Linked DNA regions of Arabidopsis thaliana. The protein of the gene in region 1 interacts with the protein of each later gene in a pairwise test. Each region holds a gene or a part of one and is shown on either strand. Other genes may lie near its edges. The genes, in order: NAC050, AT5G15040, ZR3 and SNL3.

Region 1 (5,700 bases):
ATTGGAAAAAAAAAAAGCTCAAACCTTTTAAGAAAATAAAGCTCATGAAAAGAGCGTGACGGGTCCAACTCTTTTTTTTGGTTAAATTTGCAATTTAAACAGATTACTTGTTCATGTTGACATTGAAATAGCAGGTCGAGAGCGAGAGATCAAAATGCAATGTATTATGCCCTTAATTTATGCTTTTATATATTTTGTTTATTAATGTCACATATCTTATTATGGATATACTTTGCAACGGATCACAAATCTTACCCTGAAATATGCAACCTGTTACCGGAATTGAAATTTCATAACACACTATTCTCAGCTCTTCAAGATTCAGTGTTTCATTCGTGAAGACGAATGCATGTTGTTCTAGTCTCGATACGAGAAACTGCGTTTATGAAAATAAGAAAAAGAAGAATAAATTAGCATGGGCTTGATTTACACCCGTCCGTCACCGAAATGGGCTACAAATAAATCATGGGCTTTTAATATTCTAACTTAGAAGAAATTTGGCCCATTGCTTAAACACGAGGCACAAACCATATATTTTTTTTGAGCCAAAAAAAAAAGTCTTGATATTTTAGCATTTTGTCCTTTTTGGAGACAGTGGTGTCAGATAGCTGACAACCTATATAAATAAATAAATAAAATAGAGTTTTCTTTTACTCTTACTTTCTTTATTAGTTTCATAATAATATGTGTAAAAGTAAGAGTTGGATATTTTTCGTTTTAATTTCTGCCTTCGAATTAGTTACGCATACAAAGCATAAGAGACAAGAGACATAGCGTACCAAAAAAGAAGAAAATAGTGCAAAAATATCATATAGTTTTCTGGTACGCCTCATCAATTCCACCCCCGTACACCATAATTATATAGAATTTCAATATCGAAATGTCGACAGCAACAAAATTCAACATGTCGAATAATATTGTTTTAAATATTCCATTTTACTAGAAGATGAAAAAAAGAGAGAAGAAAGTAACCTTTTGTCTTTGTCACCTTGACTTAAACAGTAATACAAACCCCACAAGTAAATTATTCAAGTTCAAATCGTAGTTAATGTTTATATTTGAGAATTGCAAATGGTTTAAACGAAAACCAAACTACGAATTACAAATTTGAAGAGGACTTGTACTAGAAAATAAATAGAGAAAAGAAGAATAATAAATAGTAACAGAAAATGGGAAAGATGATGATTCGTGTGGACCAAGTCTCTCCTCCCCTTTAGCTTGCCTTATTGGTAAAGTATCCTCCTGCAAGCAAACGTATCTGTCACTCCTTTTTTATTTTCTTTCACCTTCTATCTTATTCTCATTAATTCTTCTTTTTTGGTCAACTTCATGTATAGAAAATAATACCAAAATTTTTTGATATAGTAAAACTATTAGAACTGAATTTCAAACAAAAATAATACAAATTTAAGCAAAAAAATATTAAAAATAAATTTTAAAGAATATTTTTACATATAATAAATATACATAGTTGATACTTTTATATAATTATTAATTTATGATATTAATGAGACCATATATTTACATAGAACATTCAAAATAATTATTATCTTATTAATCTATCGATATATATCACTTTTTATACTAGTTTTTGGAATCTTAATAATTTATTAATTTGTAGAAGTTATTAATTTATAGAGGTTTTACTGTACATGTCAGCATTTAACTTTTGATAAGCACAAAACCATTACATATTTTCCAACCAGATTATTTTCTATTTATCCTAGCGTTTGTAAATCTTTGAACTACAATAATTTATCAAATACAATATAAGATTTTTATACTAAAGATGTATACAATGCATTTAACATTAAAGGAAACAAATAAACTCTAATCTTTTAAAAAAATACTTTACCTTTTAAAAAGAGTTATTAATCACATAAGCAATATTTAATTTTTCATTATTTTTTTCATCATCTGTCTAACATATTACTTTTTAAAAAATATTTATCGTTGGATACTTACTTTTCAGACCACACACTAGGACTAGTGGTTCCTTTATTTTACTGCATAGAACGACAACAAAAAGCTAAGCAGTAACATTTTTTAGGGTTTTATTACTGCAACACTCAAAAATGAGAAATTATTATTAAAATTGAAAATGAAAAATAGTAATCGCAATCCGAAATTACTTTTTTTCTAGCCTTCTAGGAACTCGAAAAGAAAGCAAATTTCTTGCAATTGAAGGTACCTGCTTCTCTTTTTCTGGTTTGTCTGGTTTCATATTAAAAAAAACATTTTGACAACTATATTTCTGGTTTGTCTGAAAAAATTGAGAAGAAAACCTAGAAACAAATACGGTCTTTTTTTTTTCTTTTTATGGGTCGCGAATCTCTGGCTGTTGTGTCCTCGCCGCCATCGGCGACTGCGCCCAGTACTGCTGTGTCGGCTACCTCGCTTGCTCCTGGCTTTCGATTTCATCCGACTGATGAGGAACTCGTGAGCTATTACTTGAAGAGGAAGGTTCTGGGTAAACCTGTACGCTTCGATGCGATTGGAGAGGTAGATATCTACAAGCATGAGCCCTGGGATTTAGCAGGTTCGTTAGGTTTCTTCTTCTTCATTTCTGCTTATCTCTATGATTTGGGGGTTTCTGTGAATTTGATGCTTCTGATTTGGGATTTTTGTCGCCTGGGCTTATTGGTTGTTCCGTCTTCTGGCTCAATTCTGGGAAATGAGTTTAGCTTTTACGTGCTCCGATTCGTTTTCTGGGAAATTTTTTGTTGCAGAGAAGATTCTCTGTTCGTACCTGGCGCTAAGTTTAGGCAATTAGGCTTTAACACTGTGAAGACATTCCATCCAATTGACTTCTTAACTGAAGAAAGTCGAATTTTCTTCAGATTGCTTTAAGAATTTCGTGTTTGCTTGTGCTACAGTTATGTTTGCTTGTGCTACAGTTATGTTTGCTTGTGGATCAGGAAATGAAGTTTGTTGCTTGTGTGTTTGGCTATCTGAAGTGTTCTCAAGTATGATCTGAAAGAAAAAAAACCTTGTGATGTGTTGTGTGTTTCAGTGTTTTCGAAGTTGAAAACTCGGGACCAAGAATGGTACTTCTTCAGTGCGTTAGATAAGAAGTACGGTAATGGTGCTAGGATGAATCGAGCAACTAACAAAGGGTACTGGAAAGCAACTGGAAAAGACAGAGAAATCCGCCGGGATATTCAGTTGCTCGGTATGAAAAAGACGCTTGTTTTCCACAGCGGGCGTGCTCCAGACGGCCTTCGGACTAATTGGGTCATGCACGAGTATCGCCTTGTGGAATATGAAACTGAAACTAACGGAAGCCTGCTGGTATTATGTTGTCCAAAAGAGTTACTTTTGAATTGGGGTTATCTCATTTTGTAAGAATCCTATCTTATCTTACTTCTTTGTCTGGGTGCAGCAGGATGCATATGTGTTGTGCAGAGTGTTTCACAAGAATAACATTGGGCCACCAAGTGGGAACAGATATGCGCCATTCATGGAAGAAGAATGGGCTGATGGTGGAGGAGCTCTGATTCCAGGAATAGACGTTAGGGTCAGGGTAGAGGCTCTACCACAAGCCAATGGAAACAACCAGATGGACCAGGTTTGTACTTTCTTTATACTCAAATGTTTCTTATATGCATAACCTCTGTGATACATCCCTCTAATGTGAATCATCTCTCTTGATTCACAAGATATTATATTTCTTATTGCAAAAGCTCTTTGCTTCTCTAAGTGCTGTTTCAGTGGGCTGATTTACTTAAACTGCACAATTCCATTAAGTTTGCTATCACCTTTTGTAGAACTCAGCTCAACCTTACAGCTTTATCTAATGAAAGGTCTCTCTTGATTCACAAGATATCTAATTTTTCTTTATGGTCCTTTTTCTTTGAGATTTATCCTTTGATTACATGATATTTCAGACTTACAATCTTCGTTTGGCATTAAAGGTGCTCAACAAGAGAAATATTTATTGTGTTTTGGTTAATCTGCAAAGTCGATCAACGCGTTTTGGTTTGAGATATTTTATGTCTGTTGGGGTTCACATAACTTGTAATTTGTTGTAGGAAATGCATTCAGCAAGCAAGGATCTCATTAACATCAACGAGCTACCGAGAGATGCTACTCCAATGGACATCGAACCTAACCAACAGAATCATCATGAGAGTGCCTTCAAGCCACAGGAGAGTAACAACCATAGTGGTTATGAAGAAGATGAGGACACACTCAAACGCGAGCACGCAGAAGAAGATGAGCGTCCTCCTTCTCTATGCATTCTCAACAAAGAAGCTCCACTACCTCTCCTGCAATACAAACGTAGACGCCAAAACGAGTCCAACAACAACTCAAGCAGGAACACACAGGACCATTGTTCGTCCACAATAACAACCGTCGACAATACAACCACCTTAATCTCATCATCTGCTGCTGCTGCTACCAACACTGCCATCTCTGCATTGCTTGAGTTCTCACTTATGGGTATCTCCGACAAGAAAGAAAACCAGCAGAAAGAGGAAACTTCTCCTCCTAGTCCAATTGCATCTCCTGAAGAGAAGGTTAATGATCTCCAGAAGGAGGTTCACCAGATGTCTGTTGAAAGAGAAACTTTCAAGCTTGAGATGATGAGTGCAGAGGCTATGATCAGCATTCTCCAGTCAAGAATCGATGCGCTGCGTCAGGAGAACGAGGAACTTAAGAAGAAGAACGCCAGTGGACAAGCTAGTTAAACCACCGCAACATCTCTCCAGGTGTCTTCTTCTTCTTCTTCTTCTTCTTTGCCTCTTAGCTGTAATCTTCTTAATAGTATGAGCTATGGATGTAGCTTCTTCAGACGGATCAGAAACCTTATGAATCTCTGTTGTAAAATTAGGATAAAACGGAACGGAGCCAACCAACTAGGTCTTTTTATTTTATCCTTTTTTACTTTGGATGTTTCTGCATCTTTTGGGAACATTTTCAGGCTGATCCATTGTCGTATATTATCATCTATCTATCTAGTCTTTTCAGACAAGAACTCGCTTTTGTTTGGTTTCCTCTCAAGAAATGTTCAGTCTCCATAAAGAAAGCTTTTTCCTTGGGGTAATCATTAGTGGTCAGATATGAGGGCATAATCGTCATTGTCATTTGAAATGACCTTCTGGTCTTCCGGACAAGAACCACTCTGTTGCTTGATGTTTCTGTGTGACTGTCTCCACAGTCCACAGGGAAGAGAGCTTCTTAGGTAAAGTCGTGATTAGTGGAAATGATTGAGGGTATAATCGTCATTGACTAATTCAGCGTTACGATTTAGGAATGTGGTTCCGTCAACGACGTTAGAAGACTTTTGTTACACGTAATTTGCAATTATTTGTTTTTTCTCTAAAAGCGAAAAGCGCTTGGTACGATTCAAGCCTGGATTCCATCTCTCTCCCATTAAGTTTTCAAGAAGAAGTTTTGATCACAGACGTATTTTCGAAATGGTTTCATATCTTACTAGGCAATGGAATTTCGTAGGTGTTATAGAGTTTGGTGTTTATATTTTACTTTTAACTACATCGTCCTATTATACGGAACCTGTCTTTTTTTTTTCCACACGGAACCCTGAATGATTGTACTTTTTGGTAGGTTTGTTCTTTATTCGAGAGTTGTAAAAAAACATTATTTACTTTTAAGATGACTACGAAAGTGTAATTTACTAAATTACTTTTCATTATTTACTCCCAAGTATAATTTACTACAAAAAGCTACGCAGTAAAA
Region 2 (4,000 bases), on another chromosome or scaffold:
TTAGATCTTATAATCTCAGACTCTGTTTATTGTTTTAATTGAATCATTTGAGGTTTATTATGTCGATTCGATTTTCAGATCTGTTGCATACGTTTTCGTATCTTCCTCGAGATCTCAATTTCATCGATCATACAAGCAACATTGGCTGGAAAGAGTGAGTTTAGCTAGCTACATTACAATCTACAACAGTTTGTTTTTGGCAACTTTCTCTGATAATTTTGGTAAAAACTTGTATAGGTCTCATAGAGCAAAGCCTATAATTATTGATCCTGGTTTGTATATGTCAAAGAAAGCTGATGTTTTCTGGGTTTCACAGAAGAGAAGTATGCCTACAGCTTTCAAACTCTTCACAGGTGCTTTCATTTTTCATAATCTTTCCTGTTTTGGGTAATCAACATAATGGGAATGTCTAAATGTAGAGTCTTCCTTAAATGTAGGATCCTTGTTACACTCATTGATGTGATATAACAATTCTTAGGCTCTAATGGTTTTTTGATGTTGTTGGTTAATAGGATCTGCGTGGATGATGTTATCTAGACCTTTTGTGGATTATTTCATATGGGGATGGGATAATCTTCCTCGAATTGTGTTAATGTATTACGCAAACTTCCTTTCATCGCCAGAAGGTTACTTCCACACTGTGATTTGCAATGCTCGAGAGTTTACCAACACAACGGTTAACAGTGACTTACATTTCATCTCATGGGACAATCCTCCAAAGCAACATCCTCACCATCTTACATTAGATGATTTCCAGAGAATGGTGGACAGTAACGCTCCTTTTGCTAGGAAATTCCGTAGAGATGAGCCTGTTCTCGATAAGATTGATTCGGAACTATTGTTTCGGAGTCACGGGATGGTCACTCCGGGTGGTTGGTGTATTGGTACGAGGGAAAACGGGAGCGATCCGTGTGCGGTGATTGGTGATACGTCGGTTATTAAACCTGGTCTTGGAGCTAAACGGATCGAGAAACTCATAACTTATTTGTTATCTACTGAGAATTTCAGACCACGGCAATGCCGGTAATGGCAAATTAGAGTTTTGTCATAGAGATGGTTACGTGGTTTTTCACACAAATGAACTGTATTGATTATCCGATACTTTGATATGGTTGTATAGAGATCTTTTTGGACTTTCTTCATTTGAGAAAGTGCAGAAATTTCGGGAAAGATCATTGATTATTGGAATTTGTCTTCTATTGCCGACCTAAAGTTTGGCCTTTTCCAACTTGATACCAATTTTATAGGTTTGTCACATATTAGTCATGTCCTTTTTATTGTTTGCATGATGAAGTTACCTGACTATTGTGACTAACATATAGGTGTTTCATTGATATTATTGCTTTTGAATTAATTTGATACATGATTCAATAACTCACATTGATATTGTTGTTTTAAATTTATAGATATACACCCATGTGACTAAGTGCAAATTACATGAGGGCCTATTGATGGTCACTACTCATTCCATGTGACTGACTGGTGGCAAAGATTTGGTTTGAATTTGATTTATCAAATGTTTTGGAAATATTATATTACTCAAGAAGTCAAGATTATATTACTTCTGCTCTGATTTTTTATTATCAAAGATTCTTAATGATAAACAAAAATCTCTAAAAGTCTGACATGTAAAATTTATTCAAAAAATCATCATAGCAGAAGCAAGAAGCTTATCAAATGAACATAGTAAAATGTCACAAAAATATATATAATGGCTCTCATTCAAAGCTGTCACATAACATTAAATATATATTTCATTAAAATGTCACAAAAATAGCAGAAGCAAAAATATATTTATATTTCTAACAAGAATCCATATCGAATACTGACAAATAAACAATTGAGAACAGAGTTTGGTCTAAAATTCTCAGTCACGGTTTCATATACGGACCAATTGTGGCAGTATTTGCTCATCAACTGAAACTGTAACAAAATATCCATATTAGTAAATATAAAACAAAGAAGAAATGCAGATGAATACTTACAATAAGGCCTAACCTCGACCTATAAAAGCCCATTATTAATTTAGGCCCAACGACGTTACGAAGAGAAACGTACGGCACCATTTGGCGCCTTTATTTATAATTTGTTTGTCATGCGTTGTGATTTGGGTCTCTTCTCATCACAAGTCGCAACGCTTAATCGTATCTGCCTAGAACATTTTCTGGTACATGTATGTATAATCGTCGGTGATGGAAGTGTTTCTTCTTCTAGATTCTGCTCTCGCTTCAAAGATCTGATTGATTTGTTTCATATCTTTCCAAGTAACCTCTCTAATTGTTTATCTTTTGTTTATCCCTGATGCAATAAACGTTCCAAGCGGACTCCTGATGCAATAAACGTTCCAAGGTCTCGAAGGTTAGTTTCCTAATCTTTAAGTGTGTTGGTGCTATCGTGGGTTGTTTTTGGGCTACTTGTTGCTTGTCTAAAGATAACTGTAAACTTTCAAAACTTGCGACTCTCTGAATTCCTCTTTTGGCTTGTGGGCGAATTGTTAGTTTTCTTTATTACGTGAATGTGTAGGAACATGTTATAATGTCTGTCTCTATTGTTCTTTGGGTTTTGGTGCAGGCATGGAAGAAGAAGAGACATTATGGCTGAATGTAGGGCATACTTTATGGAAGTGAAAGATACGTTTCATGATCAAATTGAAAAATATGATATGTTCAAGAATATTTTGTTAGATTTGAAGGCACGAAGGTAAGATGATTGCTTTTTTTTTTTTTTTGGTTTAGCCTTAAGGTTTTGATGAGTTTGCTCAAAGAATTTCTTGCATTCACAGGATTGGTCGTCATACTGCGTTTGCTCAATTGAAAGAGTTGTTCAAGGAGCACAACGAATTGATTATCGGATTTAACACCTTTTTGCCAACTGGATACAAGATAGCTCTTGATGATGACGTAGAAGACTCTTTTAGCTCGACTGCAAGAAACTATTGAAATTATCTTGTCATATTTTTTCTACTCAAATGATACGATCAAAATCTCTAAATTAGTCTCTCTATTCAGTTCTTGATGGTTTATCGAGTATCTTTGCTTTGCCATGCATGTAGGAATTTCACTATGATAAAGTTTGACCTTTTGCTATCTTCTTTACGTCCACTTAATTTCTTTATTTACTTAATTTGACCTTCGGCAAAAGCATTATTATCTACTTATTATTTTTTATTCTTAATGAAAAAAAAAACTGAAGTATATATGAAATTTGTAATATTCTAACGAGAAGTTAAAATCATAGATTGAAAAAAGAACTATATTGAGATCATAGTTTGATTGTTACAAATACTAAAAATCATTAAGAATTTCTTCATCATATCGTTGCAGTATTTTCTCATCAACTGATACAATAACAATTCAAAAAAAAAGTGAAAACGATTTTATTCCTTTTTATTAATGTTTATTTTTTAGCTGTCAAATAAAAGAGAGAGCATATTCTACAGAACTTCAGGGATGAAAAAAGGCCTCTTTATATATATAGCCTTACACTATGATCACATTGGTTCTACAGTATGATGTTACAAATACTAAAAATCACAAAGATTTCTCTCCATCATATTGTTGCTGTATTTGCTGATCAAATGTAACCAAAAATATCCAAAAAGTCAAATATTAAAACAAAGAAAATAAGAATAGCGAGATGAATACTTAAATAAGGCCTAACTACGGCCTATAAAAGCCCATTATTTATTATAGGCCCAAATAAGTTACGAAGAGATGGCACCATTTGGCGCCTTTATTTATATCTCGTTCGTCATTCCTGATTTTTGCACTATTCTCATCACAAGTCGCAACGCTTCATCGGAAATGCCTGGATATTTCATAACGTATGCATAATCTTCGGTGATTGAAGTGTTTCTTATTCTCGATTATGCTTTACTTCAAAGATCTGATTGATTCGTTTCATATTCTCGATTATGCTCTCACTTCAAAGATCTGATTGATTTGTTTCATATCTTTTTTTTTAATTATATAAAGCGTTAACTGTTTTTTACTTTTCCCTG
Region 3 (4,203 bases), about 17 Mb from region 1:
TTTTTTTTTTTCACCCTTCCTCTGCTTATTACATGAAAGTTGGGATGATTTTCACTAAATTTGGTAGCTAGCCAGGTGAGGTCATCTAAGAGTTTTTTTCCTTGCCTTTTTTGCAGGTTGTTAATCCATTTACCAAATATCCTTTATCAAGAAATATTCAGAGACTTTTCATTTATCTCTGTAATTTTGTCATAAGCTTATTCATAATATAAACTGAAAATTGTGTGGCCTTAATAGAAAGAAAGCACATATGCTTTGACATTATCTCCAGTTGCAATGAGTCTTGAGGAGTTAATACCATCAAACTATGGGAAGTCACGTTTCTACGCAATCGCCATTAGAAGTGCATTAGCCATCTCTACTCTGCTCGTTGGTCTTGCGATTCCCTTCTTCGGTAAGGACAAACGAAAAATATACATGTAAAGAAAATAAGTGTCACTTCTTTTGACACTCAGAATTCTTGCAGGCCTTGTCATGTCACTGATTGGATCATTCTTGACAATGCTCATTGTAAGTTACACATTTGTTTCATCCTTTTCTGGTTATGTAAAGCAAATTCTCATATTGCAGTTTCATAGTGAATTTGCTTAGCCTGACAAAGTTTCTGGACACAGACGCTGATACTACCGCCAGCTTGTTTCTTGAGCATCTTAAGGAAAAAAGTAACCCCTACTCAGGTATGGCCTGCTCACTTACTGATAACCAAACCGAATATCGAAATTCCTCAAACTGAAATCGATATAACAATCTGTGGTTTGTTTGCAGGTGACAATCTGTATCTTAATTATGACAGTAGGAGCAGTATGTTCAGTCATTGGCACATATTCAGCCCTTGCAAAGATCATTGAGAAGTTGAACACCTAAAACTGATCAATCTTGAGATTCTTATTTTGTTTCTCTTGAGATTTTGTTTCTGTCTTAAATCAATGGAACATCTCAACCTATATGGAACATTCCAAACACATAATTGTATTAAACATCTTCTGCATTTAAATGTTACCAAACAGTGAACTACAAGAAACAATTATAATACTGGAACATAAGGTGAAGTTCTGTTCCATAATGGTTAAGTAGCAAAAGCAAAGAAGATCACTCCTTATTCAGTAGAAATCTTTCCTCCAGCTAAATCTTCAGGAGTTAGGTTAAGAGAATCCATGGATCCTTTCTTGAATTCTTCCCCTTGAGAAGCAAGGAAGTCCTCCACGCTTCCTGGTTCTCCAAACCAACCACGACGGTCTGCAATCAAATGTAGATTATCACACCCTCCACATCGTACCACCACAACGCCGTTTTCATATGATTCTCGGCTCGCCATCTTCATAGATCTTGTATCACAGACCTTGCAAGTGAAGACCATCATGAAGTCATGCCTCGGGTTTATTTTTAACTGGGACTTGTACTTCACCATCATTTCCTCAGAGGGCGTCGCAGGGGAGGGAACTTTGGCCGATTCAGTAGCAGAGTTTGACGAGTTGCAGACATTGGTTACAGAAGCTTCATTTGCCTCACGGATTACAGATAACTGTCTCTGAAATAATCTTCCATAAACATGACTTCTGCTGAAGAGTGAGTTTGATAGCGACAACTGCTCTGTTGAGACTATTTTCAAAAAAAAAAAGATAATCAAGAAAGATCAATTTAACAGTAGTTGTAGTTGCACGAAGCTAAAACAGTCTGTACCATAACAGGACATCATAGGAACCTCCTAGGATAATGTTTGCATCAAACCGTAGACTAATGCTAACACATCTTAGTCAGGAAATATATAACCAAACTTGAAAACTTAACCAGCGTCTAGCTGAAATGCCAATGTTCACAGCTACTGCTTAATGCATAGAGATATGTTGAAGACAAAGCACTTATGTGAGCATTCATAACTTCAGGTTTCGTAGAAGCACTTCTCTAACTCCAAAATGTAACAGAGCAAAGACGATATTAGATGATATACACATGAGAATACGAGTACTCATCATCACTAATGCCCCAAATCTCTAAAAGCTACAAAAACAACCCTAAAACCAAAATCTCCCCAAAATCCTCTTCTAGTGTAAATTCAAACATAAAAACCACAAATTTACATGAATCTCAACCAAATTCATCAAAAGAAACATCAAGGCAAGTATAAATTACACAGATTAAGAGACCAGTTTAACTCTAGTGCCCGATTTTCAATAACTCTTTAATTTTTCTTAAAGATGACAAAGTTGAGAAGGAGAGAGATGAAACCTTGAGACAAAGGAAAACGATGTTGTTGGTTGCTGAAAAGAGACAAAGCGCGTCTCAAAGCAAGTAACCTAGCGGCCATTGACAACCTGAGGGAGAGGAGGAACTCGACGCTTCTATTTTCCGTGAAATTTTGGAATCGGAGCACAATAAAAGAAGCCTTTTTAATCATTAGAGTTAGTTTTCGTTATGGTCAAGTCAAAATCTAAACCCAGGTTCGAACCACTGAGTGAGCCACAAGTAGACCGACCTTTTTCTTCTTTTTTTTACGTGAGGAAAAAGAAATTTGTGAATTGAAATCTTATCTAGAAAAGAAAAAAGAAAAAAAAAATCAGAACAAGCAGGAGAATAATGTGTGTGATACAGGATATTGAGTAAGGCCACGTGGACGGCTGTGATTAGAAGATCAATGGACGGCTGTGATTCAAATTAAGTGTGCGTAGAGCTGAAGCTAATAAATATCAAGTGTCATCGTATTTTCATGTTATCGTTGAAGTTGTTGTTATTCCTTTCTCTCTGAAAACATTCCGAGATTCATCCTCTGCATAGAACGTCGATTCTTGCGAGGTGAATCCAGAAATCCCTTGTTTTATGAACATTGGATTTCATTTGTTATTTACATCGTAATAATAAGTAATCGGAGTTGTTGATGATTGCTTTGGTTGATTGATTGTGTTGTGGTGTGGTTTTACTGTATTAAAGGTATCAGAGCAAAGACGTTTCTCGGAGATGGTGATCGAGACTCGAGCTCAGGAGTTAGCTCAAGCTCGTCGAGAGAAGGCGTTAGAAGCAGAGGAATCGATGGAGTCACAGATGGAGAAGATCGAGAGCAAGATCGATGCTCAAAATCTGAAGATCGAGCGCCATATCTCGGAGATGTTTGAGGCGATCCACATGCTGTCTCCATCTAAGCAGTCAAATCTGGGTGAGACTCATCAAACAGCTCGTGCTTCATCCGCTTCAGCAACAGACGTGGATTACATGAGAAGGCAAGGTCACGCTAACAATCATTCGGGAGTAACAAGGTTAGGGAAGTTGGATTTTCCCAGATTCAGTGGTGAGAAGGTTAAGGAATGGTTGTTTAAGGTTGATCAATTTTTTGCGGTGGATCCTATACCTGAAGAGATGCGAGTGTCTGTAGTTTCTATTCATTTGGATGGTCTGGCTGCTACTTGGCACCAGAATATGATTGAGGATGAAGTGCAGGTTCCTGAGTGGGGTGTGTACAAAGCTAGGATCAGGGAGAGGTTTGAGATGGTTGGAGAGGATCCTATTGCTGAGCTGAAGAAGTTGCAGGAAACAGCTGCTAGCATTGATGACTATCACGCAAAGTTTGAGGCGATCCGGACTCGAGTAAGGATGACGGAGGATTATTTAGTGAGTGCGTATTTGGTTGGGTTAAGGATTGAGACACAGATGCATATCCGAATGTTTCAACCCCAAACGGTGCGGCAGTGTTTGATGTTGGGACGTCTCTATGAAACTGCTCATCCTGTGCAGAACAATGCGACTTCTTGGAAGAACAATAAGGCTACTTCAAAGGGCCAGTTCTCCTTTAAGAAAGACATGGAGCAGCAGGGCAATAAACCAGCGTTTCAGGAAAAACCAAGAGACACACAACAAAATCAGCCAAGGCGGTTCTTATCTACTGAAGAGATGAGTGCTAGGAGAGCTAAAGGATTGTGTTATTTTTGTGATGAACAATACACATCTGAACATTATAAGATTCACAAGAAAACACAATTGTTTGTTTTGGAAATGGAAGATGCTGAGGAAGTGTTCTTGGATGCAGAAGAAGAGCATAAGGAGTTAGTTGGGGAAGTAGCTCATATCTCAACTCATGCTATGGAGGGTATCTCAACTTACAACACTATGCGAGTTAAGGGTACAAGTCAGAAGAGATCCATTTTTATGTTGGTTGATTCGGGTTCCACTCACAATTTTATGGATCCTCAAATGGCAAAGAAGTTGGGTTGCTCA
Region 4 (8,137 bases), on another chromosome or scaffold:
CTTCAGATCATGATAGATTATAAAACTCAGAGGTTAAAGTTCTTTCTACTTTTATGTTTGCATTTGGTCTTGGTTTAGGTAAAACTCCATGGTTTCTGAGAACTGATTACCGACTATTGTGTTGTATAGAATTGATATATCTGGTGTTATAATAAGGATGAAAGAACTCTTGAAAGAACAACAAGGATTACTTTTGGGTTTCAATGCCTTCTTACCAAATGGTTATATGATCACACATCATGAACAACCTTCACAGAAGAAACCTGTCGAGTTAGGGGAAGCAATTAGTTTTATTAACAAGATTAAGGTATATATGTTTATGTGTTATAAACTGTCCAAGGAAATTACTGCTTTTCCCTTTCCTACTCTCTTAGTTATTCATTCATTTGCAGACAAGGTTTCAGGGCGATGATCGTGTATACAAATCAGTTTTAGACATTTTAAACATGTACAGAAAGGATAGGAAGCCCATCACCGCGGTCTACCGGGAGGTAGGCTCATTGATTCATACTAAGTTTTTTTTTTTTTATTGCTAATATTTTACTTAGTTTCACACGTTTATCTTATCAGGTTGCCATCCTATTTCTAGATCATAACAATTTGCTTGTGGAGTTTACTCACTTTCTGCCTGCTACTCCAGCTACTCCAGCAACAGCCTTGTTGCATTCACAGTTTTGCATAGATCATCCTGATTTGCTTGAAGAGTTGGATTGCTTTCTGCCAACTATTTCTCAGAGTTTTTTGTGACGAAAGGATTGCTATGTTACTTCAATCGCTTCACATATAAGTAGTTTTTTTTTTTTAAAGTTACAAGTCAGAGATAATAGTAGAGGTTTTTTCTTTTTAATATGCATGATTAATAGCTTTCTTTTCCCTATAAATTATAGCCACTATCAAAATTCAAAATTACCATCATCTATAGTTATTCAATGCTTTTTTTTTTACCTAGTTATTTCAATGCTTACCTATGAGTTTACTATGTGTAACATGAGGATAAGGGTTATCGGAATTATTCTACGAACAAGGTGACAAAGTTTTCGGTCTACCGGAAAGATAGTAATGCCGATAAAAAAAAAATGAATTTAAAAGGCGAATAATATGTTCCGTTTTTATGGTTTTAATCAAGTTAGAGTTAAATTATTCTTCTATTAATGTTAGCCAAATATTATTTTTTAGATTTAAGCAAAATCTAACCGTGTAATGTAATATAGATTCCATTTACATCAATGATTTTAGAACATTTTTTCCCCATTAATAATTTTGATAGGTTTTGCATTAAGTAATTAACTTAGAAATTTTAAGAAAAAACATCTATGTTGACCAAAATAAAGAGAAAAAAAACATCTATTAATAATATGATTAATCATCTAAAACTTTTTAATTACAAAATTATTTCCAAAAAAAATGAATAATTTATTTTATATCAAAAATTTTCAAAATTAAGTATGTCTCTCTCACATACCAAAGGAGATAAAAACTTCCAAAAGAAAAAAAATGTTAAAAATAATAAAAGAAGAAGATAAATTATAAGTCTCCTAAAATGATACAACCAACAAAAGGAAGTAATAAAAACAAGAAAATACAACTTTGATTTTTATTTTATTTTTTGTCAACAGAAAAATGAAATAAGTAAGTAAACGAAAAATTTAGCGAACGAGAAAGTGTATTAAATATGTAGATTTTAATTTACTTAAGAAGACGTAAAACTCCTTTGAGAGAAATCTCAATCCTTTCTTCATAAAAACATAAAACTCTCGTTTGCTCAGTGAGTCTTTTCTTTCTGTCTGAAAATTGTTGAATAGTTTTTGTCTTCTCAGCTGTTTCGTCGGAGGAAGCTTCTTCTTCTAGACTTCTTCTTCTTCTTCTTCTTCGTCTTCTCTGAATTTCTTCGGTAAACTCTCTAACACATAAACGATGATGATCTTCTTTCGTTTTTTATCCTTTCTGTTTGATTTTTGGGTATTACAATTTTAATCGTGAACTGAATGTGAAATAATCTGAGGATTAAGTTAAGATCGATTTTTTCTGGTCCGTCTCCTTTTGTTTTTTCTTCATAAATTGTTTCTGTAGCTGCTAGATCTACAGGTGTTGCTTATTGGGATGAAATTCAAGTTCGGTTCTTTGAATTTTCCTTGTTTATGTGATTGATTTTGAGTTTTACTAGGTTTTGATTTGTAGATGAACATGAAGAAAGTTGTTTTCAGCTTTTGTTCTTTTGCTGAATCCCAAATTTTACTTGAATTCTCTAAAGAAACGTTCTTTGGTCTTATGAGATGTTGAATAGCTTTCTAAATGATCTGTTTTTTTTAATGGTAATGAAGCTCTGTTCAACTTCAAACACCATGGTTGGAGGAGGAAGTGCTCAGAAGCTAACTACAAACGACGCTCTTGCATATCTTAAAGCCGTGAAGGACAAATTTCAGGATCAACGTGGAAAATATGACGAGTTTCTCGAGGTTATGAAGAATTTTAAATCTCAAAGGTATAGTTTTTTTCTTCTCCTTGTTATGTTTAGGTTAAAAACTTGGTATCTGAGAACTGATTGCTTAATTGTGTTTTTCATTGTAGAGTTGATACAGCTGGTGTGATAACTAGGGTAAAAGAACTTTTCAAAGGACACCAAGAGTTGATTTTGGGGTTTAATACTTTCTTGCCTAAGGGTTTTGAGATCACACTTCAACCTGAGGATGGACAACCTCCACTGAAGAAACGTGTTGAGTTTGAGGAAGCTATTAGCTTTGTTAACAAGATTAAGGTATATATATGTTTATGTGCTAAACTGTCTCAAGGAAATTACTGCTTTTCCCTTTCTTACTCTCTTCGATATTCATTGATTTGCAGACAAGGTTTCAGGGAGATGATCGTGTATACAAATCATTTTTAGACATTTTAAACATGTACAGAAGGGATAGCAAGTCCATCACTGAGGTCTACCAGGAGGTAGGCTCATTGATGCTGTTATGTGTATCTTTTTTTTGTTGCTATTCTGTACTTAGGTTTTACATGTCTATCTCAGGTTGCGATCCTATTTCGGGATCATTCAGATCTGCTCGTGGAGTTTACTCACTTTCTACCTGATACTTCAGCAACGGCCTCTATTCCATCTGTTAAAACTTCAGTTCGTGAGAGAGGGGTTTCTCTGGCTGATAAGGTTCTTCTCAGACTTTTATTTTCCTAGAAATACAATGTTCTATATGTCTAATCTTTTATTGAACATCATTTGATTGGAAATTGTTGCAGAAGGACCGGATCATTACTCCACATCCTGACCATGACTATGGTACTGAACATATTGACCAGGACCGGGAGAGACCTATTAAGAAAGAAAATAAAGAACACATGAGAGGTACTAACAAAGAAAATGAGCATAGGGATGCCAGAGATTTCGAACCACATAGCAAAAAAGAGCAATTTCTCAACAAGAAGCAGAAACTACATATTAGAGGCGATGATCCTGCTGAAATTTCCAATCAAAGTAAACTTTCTGGAGCGGTTCCTAGTTCATCTACTTATGATGAAAAAGGTGCCATGAAAAGTGAGTTCTCGTTTTATGACAACTAATTTGAAAGATAAGGAGTGAGTTTGTCGTTCGCTATTCCATGTGTACTTATATTTGTTTGATGTGATGTCAGGTTACAGTCAAGATCTAGCTATTGTCGATAGAGTAAAGGAAAAGCTTAACGCCTCAGAGTACCAGGAGTTTTTACGTTGTCTTAATCTCTTTTCAAAAGAGATAATCAGCCGACCAGAACTGCAATCTTTGGTATGAATAAATAAAATGCTTAAATTTTCACTGTGGCATTTGTTTGCAATGATTCATGAACATTTGTGCTTGTATCAGGTAGGGAATTTAATCGGAGTATATCCTGACCTCATGGATTCCTTTATAGAGTTTTTGGTGCAATGTGAAAAGAATGGTAACGAGGCAAATCTATGTTTCTCTCTTCCTACATTCATTGATTTCAGAAAAAAGACAGATTTGTAACCTTTTGAATCTTCTTGCAGAAGGACTGCTCTCTGGTATTCTGACTAAGAGTAAGTCTACTTATCTTTTGCAAGGGTACATGAATCTGATGCTGAGATATATTTGAAGTATTCACGAGTAGTGAAACTACACAACTCCACTATGAAATTTGATCTTCTTTCCAGATATATCCATTTCTAGTTCTGAAAAGAAAACAAATCCATTCTAAACTATACTGCAGAATCCTTGTGGAGTGAAGGCAAATATCCTCAACCGTCACTGGACAATGATAGAGACCAGGAACATAAGAGAGATGACGGGCTTAGAGATAGAGATCATGAAAAGGAAAGGCTTGAAAAAGCAGCTGCAAATCTGAAATGGGCAAAGCCAATCAGTGAACTAGATCTCTCGAACTGTGAACAATGCACTCCTAGTTATCGGTTACTTCCAAAGAATGTATGTGGCTGCAGCCTTTTATATGTGGATCTACTATTCTTGAGTTCATCTTTTGTTTCATTAGTCTAATGTAAGACATTATACTTTTTGCAGTACCCAATTTCTATTGCAAGCCAGAAGACAGAGATCGGTAAACTGGTTCTTAATGATCACTGGGTCTCCGTCACATCAGGAAGTGAAGATTATTCATTTAGCCACATGCGTAAGAACCAGTATGAAGAGAGCCTCTTCAAATGTGAGGATGACAGGTTGGTTAATCAACTTCTAATGGTGGACTGGAAACCTATATTCCATACTTTAAAAAAAAAAATTGGTTACTGACCTGTTATTGTGAGCCATTTTCTGTGTCAAATTGTGAGCCATTATTCCTCTCTTTATGCTATAGGTTTGAGCTGGACATGCTATTAGAGTCTGTAAATTCAACGACAAAGCATGTGGAAGAATTATTGACAAAAATTAACAGTAATGAACTGAAAACCAACAGTCCCATCCGTGTCGAGGATCACCTCACAGGTAACATAAGCTGGTGTAAAACAATAAGCAGCATGGATGTTAAATCACTAGCAGCTGAGCTCTTTAAATTTTTTTTTTTTTTTAATGGATTGCTTTGTTACTGTCTTTGTAGCTCTAAACTTAAGATGCATAGAACGGTTGTATGGTGATCACGGGCTCGATGTGATGGATGTGCTGAAGAAGAACGTGTCTCTTGCTTTACCTGTTATCCTAACACGTTTGAAACAGAAGCAAGAAGAGTGGGCAAGGTGTCGTTCTGATTTTGACAAAGTCTGGGCTGAGATATATGCTAAGAATTACTACAAGTCGCTTGATCATCGAAGTTTCTACTTCAAACAGCAGGATTCAAAGAAGCTGAGCATGAAAGGTTTGTCCGTAACCTATTACACACATTATTCTATTATATCAAGCAAGTGACTTTATGTACTATATTTTTTCTGTAGCATTGTTGGCAGAGATAAAAGAGATTACTGAAAAGAAGCGAGAGGATGATTCACTTCTTGCATTTGCAGCCGGAAATAGACTATCCATTTCCCCAGATTTGGAGTTTGATTATCCGGATCATGACCTTCATGAAGATCTTTACCAGCTGATCAAATATTCGTGTGCAGAAATGTGCTCTACCGAACAGTTAGATAAGGTAATGAAGATTTGGACAACTTTCGTGGAACAAATATTTGGTGTTCCTTCTCGCCCTCAAGGTGCTGAAGACCAAGAAGACGTTGTCAAGTCCATGAACCAGAATGTAAAGAGCGGTAGTTCAAGTGCTGGCGAGAGTGAGGGAAGTCCTCACAATTACGCTAGTGTTGCCGACTCTAGACGCTCAAAGTCATCTCGAAAAGCTAATGAACATAGTCAGTTGGGGCAAACTAGTAATTCGGAGAGGGATGGCGCCGCTGGTAGGACATCAGATGCCTTATGTGAGACTGCTCAGCATGAGAAAATGCTGAAGAATGTAGTTACGTCTGATGAAAAGCCTGAAAGCAAGCAAGCTGTTTCTATTGAGCGTGCACACGATTCAACTGCTCTCGCTGTGGATGGATTATTAGATCAAAGTAATGGAGGAAGCAGTATAGTACACATGACCGGTAACACCTCAAAATCTTGCTTAGAAGTTAGTTCTCTTGGAATTTTTCATTTTCTTTGTACAGTTAATGAATAGTTTCCTCTTTACTTGGTCAGGACATTGCAATAATAATCTGAAGCCTGTGACCTGTGGAACAGAGTTGGAGTTGAAAATGAATGATGGTAATGGGCCAAAATTAGAGGTATAGTTTCAGTGAAGCACGTTTTAGTCCCATCATCTTATATTTTGATCTGATACTTTCTATATAGATGACTCATTTCAAATGAAGGACCGAATTTTGTTGATATGGAACAATATCTCCCATTGTTTGCACTTGGTGCTTAGGTCCTTCATATGGAACTTAGATAGTTTTAAAATTTGAAGTTACACACCCTTAGTTCTGTGTTAACCAAGAGGTGGTACTGATAAACTTTGTCTCACAGGTTGGTAACAAGAAGTTATTGACAAATGGGATCGCGGTAGAAATAACAAGTGACCAAGAGATGGCAGGAACATCCAAAGTTGAAAGAGAAGAAGGTGAACTTTCTCCAAATGGAGACTTTGAGGAAGATAATTTTGCAGTTTATGCAAAAACTGATTTTGAGACCTTCAGCAAAGCGAATGATAGTACTGGAAATAACATTAGCGGAGATAGAAGTAGAGAAGGGGAACCATCTTGTCTGGAGACAAGGGCTGAGAATGACGCTGAAGGTGACGAAAACGCCGCAAGATCATCAGAGGACAGCAGAAATGAATATGAGAACGGTGATGTTTCTGGAACGGAATCTGGTGGTGGTGAAGATCCGGAGGATGATTTGGATAACAATAACAAAGGAGAAAGCGAAGGTGAGGCTGAATGTATGGCTGATGCACATGATGCTGAAGAAAATGGGTCTGCCTTACCCGTTTCAGCACGATTCTTGCTGCATGTAAAGCCCTTAGTAAAGTATGTTCCTTCAGCTATAGCTTTGCATGACAAGGACAAAGACTCTCTGAAGAACTCCCAAGTTTTCTATGGAAATGATTCGTTTTACGTGCTTTTCAGGCTGCACCGGGTAAGAGCTAAAGATCATATACAGTTTGAAAAAATTATAAACAGTATAATCTAAAGTACAAAGAGTTTTCACTAGCTAACTTTACGCTATTACTCTTGACAGATATTGTATGAGAGAATACTATCAGCAAAAGTTAACTCATCATCCCCGGAAGGAAAGTGGAGGACCTCAAATACCAAAAATCCTACTGATTCCTATGCTAGGTGAAATTTGCTTTTTATTGCAGAGATTGTGTGTGTTTCTGGGATTCATATGTGCTCCATACTTATAACTTTAATTAATGTGGAACAGATTCATGACTGCACTCTACAACTTACTTGATGGTACATCTGATAATGCCAAGTTTGAAGATGACTGCCGAGCGATAATCGGGACTCAGTCTTATATTCTCTTCACATTGGACAAACTGATCCATAAATTCATCAAGCATGTGAGTATTTTTGCTCTTTGATGTTTTCTCTATGTATTCACCTCTCTATCTTTACTTGCTTTTTACTAACATACGTGTGGTCATTCTTCAGCTACAAGTAGTAGTAGCTGATGAGATGGACAACAAGCTTCTTCAGCTTTATTTTTATGAGAAATCCAGAAGGCCTGAAACGATTTTTGATGCTGTGTATTACGATAATACCCGTGTCCTCCTCCCTGATGAGAATATTTACCGTATTGAATGTGTAAGTTTTTGCTGCATCTTACATTAGCTACTTATATTCTGTCGATGCACTGCTGATCATGCTTTTGGACTCCAAAACCTCATGTGTATGCAGAGATTATCAACCCCAGCGAAACTCTCTATTCAGCTTATGTGCAACGGTCTTGATAAGCCCGATGTGACATCTGTATCCATTGACCCGACCTTTGCAGCTTATCTCCACAATGACTTCCTCTCCATACAACCAAATGCAAGGGAGGATCGCAGAATCTATTTAAATAGGTAAATGTAAAACATGAACAAATGACTGTCCCTTGATCTCTGAAACCTAGTGGGTCACTCATCAAAGCCAATGCCATTTTTCGTTTTCTCCAGGAACAAGCGCAAAGTTTGTCGTGAAGATGAACAGTTATACAGCACAGATGAAGTTA

The links.
Region 2: the proteins of NAC050 (region 1) and AT5G15040 interact in a two-hybrid assay, tested with the Arabidopsis thaliana proteins (one large-scale study listed by BioGRID).
Region 3: the proteins of NAC050 (region 1) and ZR3 interact in a two-hybrid assay, tested with the Arabidopsis thaliana proteins (one large-scale study listed by BioGRID).
Region 4: the proteins of NAC050 (region 1) and SNL3 interact in a two-hybrid assay, tested with the Arabidopsis thaliana proteins (one large-scale study listed by BioGRID).

Annotation. Positions count from the first base shown.
Region 1 is NC_003074.8:3,262,091-3,267,790, forward strand, and holds NAC050 (NAC domain containing protein 50), read left to right. Parts: upstream 1-2,257; 5' UTR 2,258-2,319; coding exon 2,320-2,539; intron 2,540-2,729; coding exon 2,730-2,759; intron 2,760-2,840; coding exon 2,841-2,909; intron 2,910-3,013; coding exon 3,014-3,291; intron 3,292-3,382; coding exon 3,383-3,568; intron 3,569-3,711; coding exon 3,712-3,803; intron 3,804-3,914; coding exon 3,915-3,960; intron 3,961-4,031; coding exon 4,032-4,691; 3' UTR 4,692-5,000; downstream 5,001-5,700. UniProt on the Arabidopsis thaliana protein: Transcriptional repressor that binds to the motif 5'-(C/T)A(C/A)G-3' in the promoter of target genes. Also binds to the 5'-CTTGNNNNNCAAG-3' consensus sequence in chromatin.
Region 2 is NC_003076.8:4,868,847-4,872,846, reverse strand, and holds AT5G15040 (Paired amphipathic helix (PAH2) superfamily protein), read left to right. Parts: upstream 1-2,105; 5' UTR 2,106-2,358; intron 2,359-2,571; 5' UTR 2,572-2,593; coding exon 2,594-2,700; intron 2,701-2,782; coding exon 2,783-2,939; 3' UTR 2,940-3,093; downstream 3,094-4,000. Other genes in the region: AT5G15050 (Core-2/I-branching beta-1,6-N-acetylglucosaminyltransferase family protein), read left to right, coding at 79-154, 238-353, 513-1,027; AT5G15030 (paired amphipathic helix Sin3-like protein), read left to right, coding at 3,804-3,823.
Region 3 is NC_003074.8:20,308,546-20,312,748, reverse strand, and holds ZR3 (Zim17-type zinc finger protein), read right to left. Parts: upstream 2,481-4,203; 5' UTR 2,396-2,480; coding exon 2,227-2,395; intron 1,600-2,226; coding exon 1,097-1,599; 3' UTR 895-1,096; downstream 1-894. Other genes in the region: AT3G54830 (Transmembrane amino acid transporter family protein), read left to right, coding at 117-180, 272-394, 467-510, 602-677, 766-848.
Region 4 is NC_003070.9:8,564,133-8,572,269, reverse strand, and holds the start of SNL3 (SIN3-like 3), read left to right. Parts: upstream 1-1,733; 5' UTR 1,734-1,891; intron 1,892-2,321; 5' UTR 2,322-2,342; coding exon 2,343-2,482; intron 2,483-2,568; coding exon 2,569-2,755; intron 2,756-2,841; coding exon 2,842-2,940; intron 2,941-3,016; coding exon 3,017-3,151; intron 3,152-3,240; coding exon 3,241-3,535; intron 3,536-3,632; coding exon 3,633-3,763; intron 3,764-3,841; coding exon 3,842-3,917; intron 3,918-4,005; coding exon 4,006-4,035; coding exon of another isoform or gene 4,036-4,060; intron 4,061-4,205; coding exon 4,206-4,420; intron 4,421-4,513; coding exon 4,514-4,668; intron 4,669-4,805; coding exon 4,806-4,933; intron 4,934-5,045; coding exon 5,046-5,300; intron 5,301-5,376; coding exon 5,377-6,021; intron 6,022-6,115; coding exon 6,116-6,201; intron 6,202-6,442; coding exon 6,443-7,054; intron 7,055-7,156; coding exon 7,157-7,257; intron 7,258-7,345; coding exon 7,346-7,484; intron 7,485-7,575; coding exon 7,576-7,728; and 4 more. Other genes in the region: AT1G24200 (Paired amphipathic helix (PAH2) superfamily protein), read left to right, coding at 1-32, 130-307, 393-491, 571-639, 993-1,097. UniProt on the Arabidopsis thaliana protein: Acts as a transcriptional repressor. Interacts with ERF7 to repress genes in abscisic acid and drought stress responses. The heterodimer represses transcription by tethering SNL3 to DNA.